2 linked regions of the Saccharomyces cerevisiae S288C genome follow. The protein of the gene in region 2 interacts with the protein of the main gene of each other region in a biochemical or structural test. Each region holds a gene or a part of one and is shown on either strand. Other genes may lie near its edges. The genes, in order: BCD1 and RSA1.

Region 1 (3,138 bases), on a different chromosome or scaffold from region 2:
GACTGCCGCAGCGGCGGATATCCCTCCGGCGCTGGTGTTCAATGGCTCATCTACGGGCGTTCCTGAGTCCATAGACACTATTTTGTCGTCCAAGCTGTCCAACATCTGGATGCAGAGGCAGCTCATCAAGGGTGATGCCGGTGAGACGTTGATCTTGGACGGGCTCACCGTGCGACTCGTCAACCTCTTCTCCTCCACTGGGTTCAAGGGTCTCCTGATAGAACTGCAGGCGGACGAAGCGGGCGAGTTTGAGACCAAGATTGCAGGCATCGAAGGACACCTAGCTGAAATCCGGGCCAAGGAGTACAAAACCTCATCCGACTCGTTGGGGCCGGACACCAGCAACGAAATATGTGATTTGGCGTACCAGTATGTTCGTGCTCTGGAGCTGTGAGTTCTTACGAATGCTTTTTCTTTTTTTTTTTTTCTGTTTGTATATTGCGGTGTATACGTATAGATAGATAGTCTAAATAGTAATCTTCAACCTTATGTATCTCGGCTCATGCAGTGAGGAAATCCATGGATAAGCCCGGATTGTAGTCATCGTCGCTGTCGCTGTCGCTGTCGCTGGCGTCCTGTGTTTCCTTCTGTACAGGTTCTTCTGTCGGTTGAGAGTCCTCTTCAGCGTCTTCCTCCTCCCTTGCATTGTCAATAAACTTGTTCAGTGTACTCGTATGCTCAAGTGGGCGGGGTTCCTGGTGTAGCACCTCGTAGCCCTCTGGTAGGTCAGCCTCTGTCATGGCAACGAATATCGTGGGAAACTCGATCACTGTGGTGTTCTTCAACAATTCTCCGATGCATTTCTCATGTATAGCCAACTCCACCAGTTTTTTTGAATCCATTATATGCGTGGTGTTGTAAGGGAACGTTTTCGTGTAGAATTTGAGCCCACTCTTCTGTAGGATCTGTGTTCTTTCCTCTTTGGTCTCCGAACCGTCTTCGCCCTCTATGCAAGAGCTTGTTCCAGCCAAGCGATAGAATTCACAGCATTTTTGGAAAACGTTCTTGCCCATCCCTTGCACCAAAAAGTCTGTCTCTTTGATACGGTGGCTGACATGTTTGAAAAGCTCCTTTTTCTCACCCTTTTCCTGCATAGGACATAGAATCCACTCCACGCTCCATACAAATAGGTCCATCGTTTTGTCCCACTTGCTCCTGTTTTGCGATGATCGCTGCATCCCCTTGGGTAGCATCAAACAGTTCACCCCCCTCCTAATTATCCTCTGACACTCCGTGCTATCACGATCATCCTCATCTATATCGTATCTTCTCTTCTTGAAATTAGAGTTGTGGCCGCCCACAGGCCCCAGAACCCGCTTGTTCTTCATTCTAGCATCCATCTTTTGTACATGCACCATTCGCTTCAACTGCGTCAGATAGTTGTAGTCCCTCTGGACATAAGCATTTCGTTCGTGCTTGTCGTCGTCCGCCTGTTTCAACGCCTCACTCGATATATACTCCTTAGGATCATGTGTTTGACCTGAGCAATTGTCCCTTGTCTTGTGCTTCTTGGAACACTCCAAAGAGCAAGTTTGCACCAAACATCTTGGACACTTGTATTTGAACTCTTTTATTCCGCATACACCACACAACACCGCCATACTTGCAAATTGCCACACCCTTCCCTATTAACTGGACTCCTATTCCAGCTCATCTCATCGAATATGAACTTTGACATCCACTATTATTACCGCGAATTTTTTTTTTTTTCAATTTGTTACCCTGCCTTGGGTATCAAAAATTTCATCTCTAAAAGGGAGCGTGATAGATAAAGCAATCACACCTTAAACAATACATTTTTTTTTTTCCTGCAATCTCCAAAGTGTGCAAGGTATACAAAGCAGAATGGTATGTGCCATTACATTACGTGTCAACACTTCTGTCTCTAACAAGCGTTCTTACTAACATGAAAAACTTTTTTAAAACTGTGCTCTCTTGTTGGACTGGTACCTCGTGACAAAGGTATTGGTTTTTTCATTGTTGCTCAGAACTATGTAATATTCTCTTTAGTCCCAAAAAAACGGAATTGCCACCCTACTACAAGCTGAAAAGGAAGCCCACGAAATAGTATCAAAGGCTAGAAAGTACAGACAAGATAAGTTGAAGCAAGCCAAGACTGATGCAGCCAAGGAAATCGACTCATACAAAATTCAAAAAGACAAGGAATTGAAGGAGTTTGAACAAAAGAATGCCGGTGGTGTTGGTGAATTGGAAAAGAAAGCAGAGGCTGGTGTGCAAGGTGAATTAGCTGAGATTAAGAAAATTGCAGAGAAGAAAAAGGATGACGTTGTCAAAATTTTGATCGAGACTGTCATCAAGCCTTCTGCTGAAGTCCATATCAATGCCTTGTAATATTGCATTACATTCTAGTTTTCTAATCATATATCTTTTTATAATATAATACCAATAGAATAAAAATGTATAAACTGACATTGCATTCGGTCTTTACGACTCTCGCTTTATCCATTCAGCCTTTTTTTTTTTTTTTTTTTTTTCTCTATCTGCTAAACGAGTAGTAGTATAATCAAAAATGTGTTATTTAGTATATCGGTTGTAAAGGAGAAAGTATGGTCTCTCTATTTTTATTTTATTAACGAAAAATACTAAACGCCGATGGGGATTACTATATAATTATAATAGTATTTGCAGAATAGTAGAATTCTTTTCACAGTTCACGTTCAGTTTCTCCTCTGTTTTATCGAACGTTTATTCATCATGTCCAAGGTCTATCTGAATTCAGACATGATTAACCATTTGAACTCCACAGTTCAAGCTTACTTTAACTTATGGTTGGAGAAGCAAAACGCAATAATGCGTTCTCAACCCCAAATTATTCAAGATAACCAAAAACTGATAGGCATTACAACGCTAGTTGCCTCAATTTTCACTCTGTATGTTTTGGTCAAGATAATCTCCACCCCAGCAAAGTGTTCCTCGTCCTATAAGCCAGTCAAATTCTCCCTTCCTGCACCAGAGGCCGCTCAAAATAATTGGAAGGGCAAGAGGTCTGTTTCCACTAACATATGGAATCCTGAAGAACCAAACTTTATTCAATGTCATTGTCCCGCCACAGGTCAATATCTAGGTTCTTTTCCATCGAAAACGGAAGCTGACATAGATGAAATGGTTTCTAAGGCA
Region 2 (6,384 bases):
AAATGACAGCAATGAAAGAAGACAACGCTGCATTGATTACACTGAAGAAAAACAACGACCAAGAAAAACTTAGAGTGCATAAACTGACAGATGCAAGTTCAAACTCTGCTGATGGGTTCGTTATAAATAAAGCCAAAAACGGTGGACCGCTTAATAAAAAGTCATTAGTTAATAATGAACAACACATTAAGAAGGCTGTGTCGCCTGGTAGAGTCAGGAAGCACAAAACGACAACATCTTCCACAAAATCACGAACGAAAAGTAAGAAAAAAGACGCTTCTGAAAGTAAAGTACAGAGAGAGAATAAGGGTTCATTTTACCAAGGTGCCATTTTCGGTTCGTTCCTTGGTGCTGCTGTAACTACTGTTTTAAGTAACCTAGCAGTTAAAGCTCTTCAAAATTAGTTTCATATACTCATGATTTCTAAACAGTAATTAGTTTTATCTGACTTATTTTTTTTTACGCACCTTTGCATGTACTCTTCCATGTATATCAATATTTGCTATTCTATTACTTATTTCTAGTAAAGTTGGCTCTACTCAGATTAGGTTTCCTGTTTTTGTAATTTGGTTTGTAATGATTTTTATTATTATCTTCAGAGCTCCCAAAAAGTACATCTTTTTCTTGTTGAGATAGCTCATATTCAAGTAATCCTACATCTCCCAATTCTCTTATAAAGTCCAAAAGTTGGGAGTTTTCGTTTGCGAATTCTCGCTGTATCAATTTCAAGTTCAAGTCAATCTTCGGATTTCCTCTCTGCACTTGATTTTGAATACTCTGTATAAATTGCTTTTCTTTCCTTGACTCTTTGAAAATGCTAGGTTGGCTCTTCAGTTCATCTTCCTTTATGCCCATTTCTTGCATATGTTTCTGTTTGTTATTGGATATTTTCAGTAGCCACATTTTTTTTCTTTCTTCTCTCCACTTTTTAACATCTTCATCAGTAATCAATGCTATGGAGGTTCCAGGAACCAAAACCACCTTACCCAACCCCTCTGATTCTAACTGCTCATCACGATCATCATCTTCTAGCCCTAAGTTATTATGATCATCTTCGGCATTAGAATTTGCCAGCTCGGGATCCTTTCTTGGGATTTCTGTAGGCTCCGCAGATGCTTGATCCTTGCTTGATGGTACTGGACTTATTTCATTCATAAACGTATCTTTCCCTCTGTTTTTCTCAATCAATTGTATTTCCTTTACGGTCGGTATTGCAACATCTTCATAACTAATTGATGTTTGGTAATCTTTATCATTCTTTAAGGCTTGAGTGTTTTCACAATATGATGATGGCCACTTCTGTAAATTAAGCGCTGGTGCATAAGATATATTCTGATGAACTGGCGGTATGTAATTTTCTGTATAATTGGGAGGACTCGTATAATTGTACTGAGTGGACGGTTGTATTGGATGGAAATATTGATTATGAGGGGCTACATGATGAAGTTGAGGAGTATAACCGGTATTCCATGAACCTTCATAATACGGAGAGTTCGGATACATATGAGGTGAGTAAGCTGCATTAAAAGCAGAGTCTGTTTTTTGCCTTTTAATTTTCGATTCATCATAGCCATCTGATAGCGTTCCGGAGTATGTAGGTTTGGGAAGCCTAGAATGTCCATCACCCTTCGAATTTTCAAAGTTATTATAATTCATAGTCCATGTCGCAATAAGCTAATCAAAATGGAAAAAGAGATTGACTTATGAGTTAAATATAATAGCATCAATGAAATTTTTAAGTTCCTATTAAGTAAAAAGCTATGCAATATAGAGATATTATGCTATTGAAAATTTTAGTTTGTTCCCCGACCGTGATGGACCATCAGCCGCACGCTCACCAAATTGAGACAGAAAAAAAAAAAAAAACAGCGATCGATATTATCATGATAATTGCTACTTCATCTAATATTTACACGCCTTTATACTGATTTTGCATTATGGTTTTAGTCAAATATACCCCTTGGCTTTTCTACTTGTGTTAGACCCAGCCCATCTTCCATCTCTTTATTGTCCTGTTTCTTGTGATTACTTGTGTCATTCTGGGAATTCAACAGACCTTGCATATGCTTCAATTTTTCTTTCTTGAGCATTCCTTTTCTATCGATATTGCTGCATGAAACCTCATCATCTGCAGCTGGTAACGCTTTTCCCCATGTCACAGTGGTGTCTGCCCTTTTTGCAAATGTAGATTGTTGGGTGGGGTCTTCAGTTTCATTACAAATATCTGCTATGGATCTTTTTAAAGAATTGCTCTCATTACGTGGACAGGCCACTTCATGAGTCGTACCAATGTCAAAACTTTGTTCCCGATTCATGTTCATATGAACTGAACTAGCCTGCCGGAACCGCTTATCTTGTTCGTAATTCGTACTTTGGCTTTGTTCTTCCACGAATAATTTTCTTGCCGTGTTATTTCTATAGGTCTTAGCAACTGTGCTTCCATTATCAGGGGTCAGATACGACACTTTCAAAGGACTGTTTCGAGTTCCAGCCACAGAGTGTGGCAGGTTTTCTCTCTTTAAAGCAGTTTTGCTTTTTAATGGACTTTCGCAGCTTTCTTTGTTGTCTTTCAGTCCGGCCTCTTCTTTGGAGCCAGAGATTGCTGTTTTTATGAATTTTCCTTCTAAAATATCATCGTTAATGTTACTGTCAGTAACTTCAACCAATTCTAATTTTACGCCCGGTTTTTGCATTTGCATAAGAATAGGGTCCCCTGGGTGGCAAAACCATAAACTTATATTATCATTTCCGTCCTGGGTAGTCTTCCAGGATGGACCTATCGTTATGAAGTTTTTGAAGTCCTTCAATTTGAATATTATACTTTTCATATGCTCTCTACGCTTACTATGTGATCGCTTATCTTGTTTTTCATCTTCGATTGTTGTAAATAAGCAATAATGCTCAAGATCGAGCGTACTGATAGTGTTACTCATGCTTAACGCATTTCTTAAAAGGTCGTTATTTTTGCCGTAGACGGCCTTGGTGAATGCAGTTATGCTTAGCCTATGTACGTTAATTTCCAATTTTACTTCATCGGTTACATTAACATTGCAGTTGTCTAAAAAATTCTTCAATAAAGTTGAATTACAACAAATGTAATTAATCTCATCAGCAGCCGTTAACTGATTCCTTTTACGTATGTCTGATTCCACTTCTTCGTTAAATAAGGCTGATGTTAGCTCACGCTCTGTATTTGTAAAAACGTCCAATAGCTTAGGGTCCAAGGGCTCCTGTGGATTCCGATCGGAGGCAGCAGTTCCAAAAACATCCAAAAACCTCCTTTTGTACTTAAGGTTGATTATTATGGGATCGTATTTTATTGGCTGGAATTGGGGACAGTATTCTTTGACTATTAACGAATCCATTTCAATCACCACAATCAATCTATTTGCAAGTGATTCAGGACAGGTAGAAGTGTTGTTTACCGCAATTGTGAATGATTTGATGCCATCACCATCCGGCTTTCTTGATATAGTTGTTAGGTGTCTTCCATTAACACGGAAGGAGTATAACTTATGACTATTGCCGTACGTATCTTCTATAACTTGAACCCCATTTTCTCCAAATACAATCTCATGTGGTTTAAACTCATACTCCTCAAAAAAGCTTTTCTGAAACCTAACCTGACAAAGAGTAGTATCTGTCTCGTTCATTGACCAAGCAATTAACTCATTTGTTGTCACTGTAATCTTGATATCATCCTGAATTGTAGATAACACATATATCGCACGAAACCAGATATTCTGCTTCCCCGACTCGGTGATAGTTGCCTTAAATGACATATATGTCTAAGCAAAGTTATGCTGTGTTATTGTTACACTAGCAATAGTATGTCAAATAATTTTGCAAATCATCTCTGGTCTATGATTACCTTTGGCGGCCTTTGATTCATTCGCGTCATTATTAAATATGCCGTCTCTTTCGGCAAATTGAGTGCACCGCAATAATATACTATGCAGAATAAAATACTTAAATTAATTATAGTTTACGTACGTAATCGCTGTCATTGAGAATTCACGACTTCGATTTTTTTATCGTTAAATGTCAGTGCTTTGGTCTCGAAGAAATTCATTTGGTTCTGGAGAATTTTTTGCTTTCGTTTTTAGTTTGTTTTTTGACTTTGACTTTTTCCCTTTCTTCTTCTTTTTTATAACTATAACTTCTTCAGTATCACTTAAATTATCCTTTTCATCTTTTACAATAAGATTGGCCTCTAAACGACTTAATTCTAACTCGTCTTCCTTTCTAAGGTTGCCCTCTTCCTGCGATCCTCTTCCTGCGTTACTCGATTGCCCAAAATTGGAAAAATCAAAATTTTCAAGTTGAGAGTGCATTCTCAGATTAATCTTGTCCTTTTTCAAAGGATTTTGAGTTGAATGATTATCATGGGGTTTCTGGAATGCATCTTTCCTTTTGGGAGCGGCTTCGATAACAGGTTCATCGGATAAGACTTGAACCCTATTTTTCTTCTTTCCCTTCTTCTTCTTTCTGCTGATTTCAGTTGTAGATAAACTTAGAGAATTCAACGAATTATCGGTTCTATTTAATCTAATAGTTTCTGGCTTTTTATCACTACTTTCCTCCTCATTCAAGTCCAACAAATCTTTAGAGTTCTTAGTTCTTTCTTCGTCTTCTTCACCTAGATAATAAGGATTTGACATCCGTTCCTTTTCTCTCTCAATCTCAAATGGATTTTCAAAATCATCCAATTTTTCCTTTTCTTCATACGAAGTATCAGAATCATCAACGAATTTTAGTTCAACTTGCTCGTCCATTGAGATATCAGACATTAAATCACTGATGGCGTCACTTTTTTGTTCATCTAAGAGTTCATCAGCTGCCTCCTTTGTCAAAAATGGAGTTTCTAGATCAAGATTCTCATCTACTGCTAACTTCAATTGAGTCCCACGCGCAATTGGTGCGAGTTCATAGGCGTTAAAAAAACTAGGCAGGACTTCGCTCAGTAGCATTGGTAGACCTTCCGTATCCTCCTCTAAAGCCTCCAAACTTAGTCTTAAAAATTCTAAAACTTCTACGCTTCTTTCCTGGACTTCGAATGTACTCGAATAAGATAAATTTTCAAAAAATTCAATTAGCTCTTTTAACACCATTTTAATTTCAAAGCGTTTATCCTCCTGAAAGTTATTACACCAATTACTAAATACTTTAACAAGTGCTAAAATTAAAACTTCTTGTACACTATGAGAATAATAACTGATATTCTCAGTCATGATTTTTATTAAGTCGTTACCATTTTCAACTAGGGTAGAAAATTCTCCGAGACACCAAATGCATTCTCTCAATACGGTAGGCAACTGTTTGTTAATATTGTCATTTGAAATAAGCTTTATAATATTAGCAATGGTTACTTCTCTCATTGAAGGAACTTTTATCATCAAATTCCTAAACTGTTCACCAATTTTTGATCCAAGGCTTTTATCAGATATGTCTTGACAGAGCATCGCCAAGTCCATTATTACTGCATTGTACCATTCAAAGTCGTTAACACTGGAATAGTTGTCAGCTGAACAAATCGATATAATGACGTTCACCATTTTTATCTTGTAATTTTCTGGAATTATTATGGGAATTCTCTTTGATTTTTCGTATACGATGCTTCCAGTTTGTAGGATAACCACATCTTCATCTACAAATTGCTTCATCAATGTTTGGACAATTGCCTTTAAGTTATCCTCATCAACAATACCTTCAACCAATTCAATTGCTTTTGATCTTATAGAAACGTCGACATCGGAGAGTAAGCGTATAATCAGTTGGTCGAACCGAGAAATAAAATCAGTATTGATTTTGCCGATCTTGTAAAACAATATGCAGCTAATATATCTCAAATTTGGATCCTGAGAATCACAAAATGTGTGCAATCTTTCCAGGCATGCCATTGCTGTTTCAAAATCATCTTCTTCTAGCATATTCCCCTTGACAATACAGTTGACAGATTCATAGATCACAGAAGTTGCAACAGTACTCTCCATCAGTTCTAAAATTTTCGGCAATAACTTGGCTCTCAATTTCGGTTCCACTTGTGATAAGTTGGTGAATAACTTCAATAATCTAATGATTATCCAGTTATTGTCAATGGTAACTAATATCTCGTATAATAAAGGTGAAAGCTGGATGAATGGTTGGGGGTTTTTTTTTGATAGCTCGCAAATAACACTGACAGCGGCAGAAACCACAGATATATCATCATCGTCTAGCTTTGAAACAAACTTATCAAAATTATCTCTCAAAGCCTCTGGATATTGCAGAAAAACTTTAAATAGTGCGGTAATGGCCTTCTTTCTTATGTACGGTCTTGTGCTGTTTAGCATAGTGAACAAATCATCAGCTATATCTCTTGCTAATGAGGGTGTAATTATAGTG

What was found.
Region 1: the proteins of RSA1 (region 2) and BCD1 form a complex in vitro, tested with the Saccharomyces cerevisiae proteins (one study listed by BioGRID).

The regions. Positions count from the first base shown.
Region 1 is NC_001140.6:186,387-189,524, reverse strand, and holds BCD1 (Bcd1p), read right to left. Parts: upstream 1,602-3,138; coding exon 501-1,601; downstream 1-500. Other genes in the region: SRB2 (Srb2p), read left to right, coding at 1-394; VMA10 (H(+)-transporting V1 sector ATPase subunit G), read left to right, coding at 1,846-1,848, 2,011-2,352; MSC7 (meiotic recombination directing protein), read left to right, coding at 2,716-3,138. UniProt on the Saccharomyces cerevisiae protein: Required for box C/D snoRNAs accumulation involved in snoRNA processing, snoRNA transport to the nucleolus and ribosome biogenesis.
Region 2 is NC_001148.4:176,675-183,058, reverse strand, and holds RSA1 (Rsa1p), read right to left. Parts: upstream 1,657-6,384; coding exon 511-1,656; downstream 1-510. Other genes in the region: pheromone-regulated protein PRM3, read left to right, coding at 3-404; DDC1 (Ddc1p), read right to left, coding at 1,944-3,782; APL5 (Apl5p), read right to left, coding at 4,038-6,384. UniProt on the Saccharomyces cerevisiae protein: Involved in a late nucleoplasmic step of 60S ribosomal subunit assembly.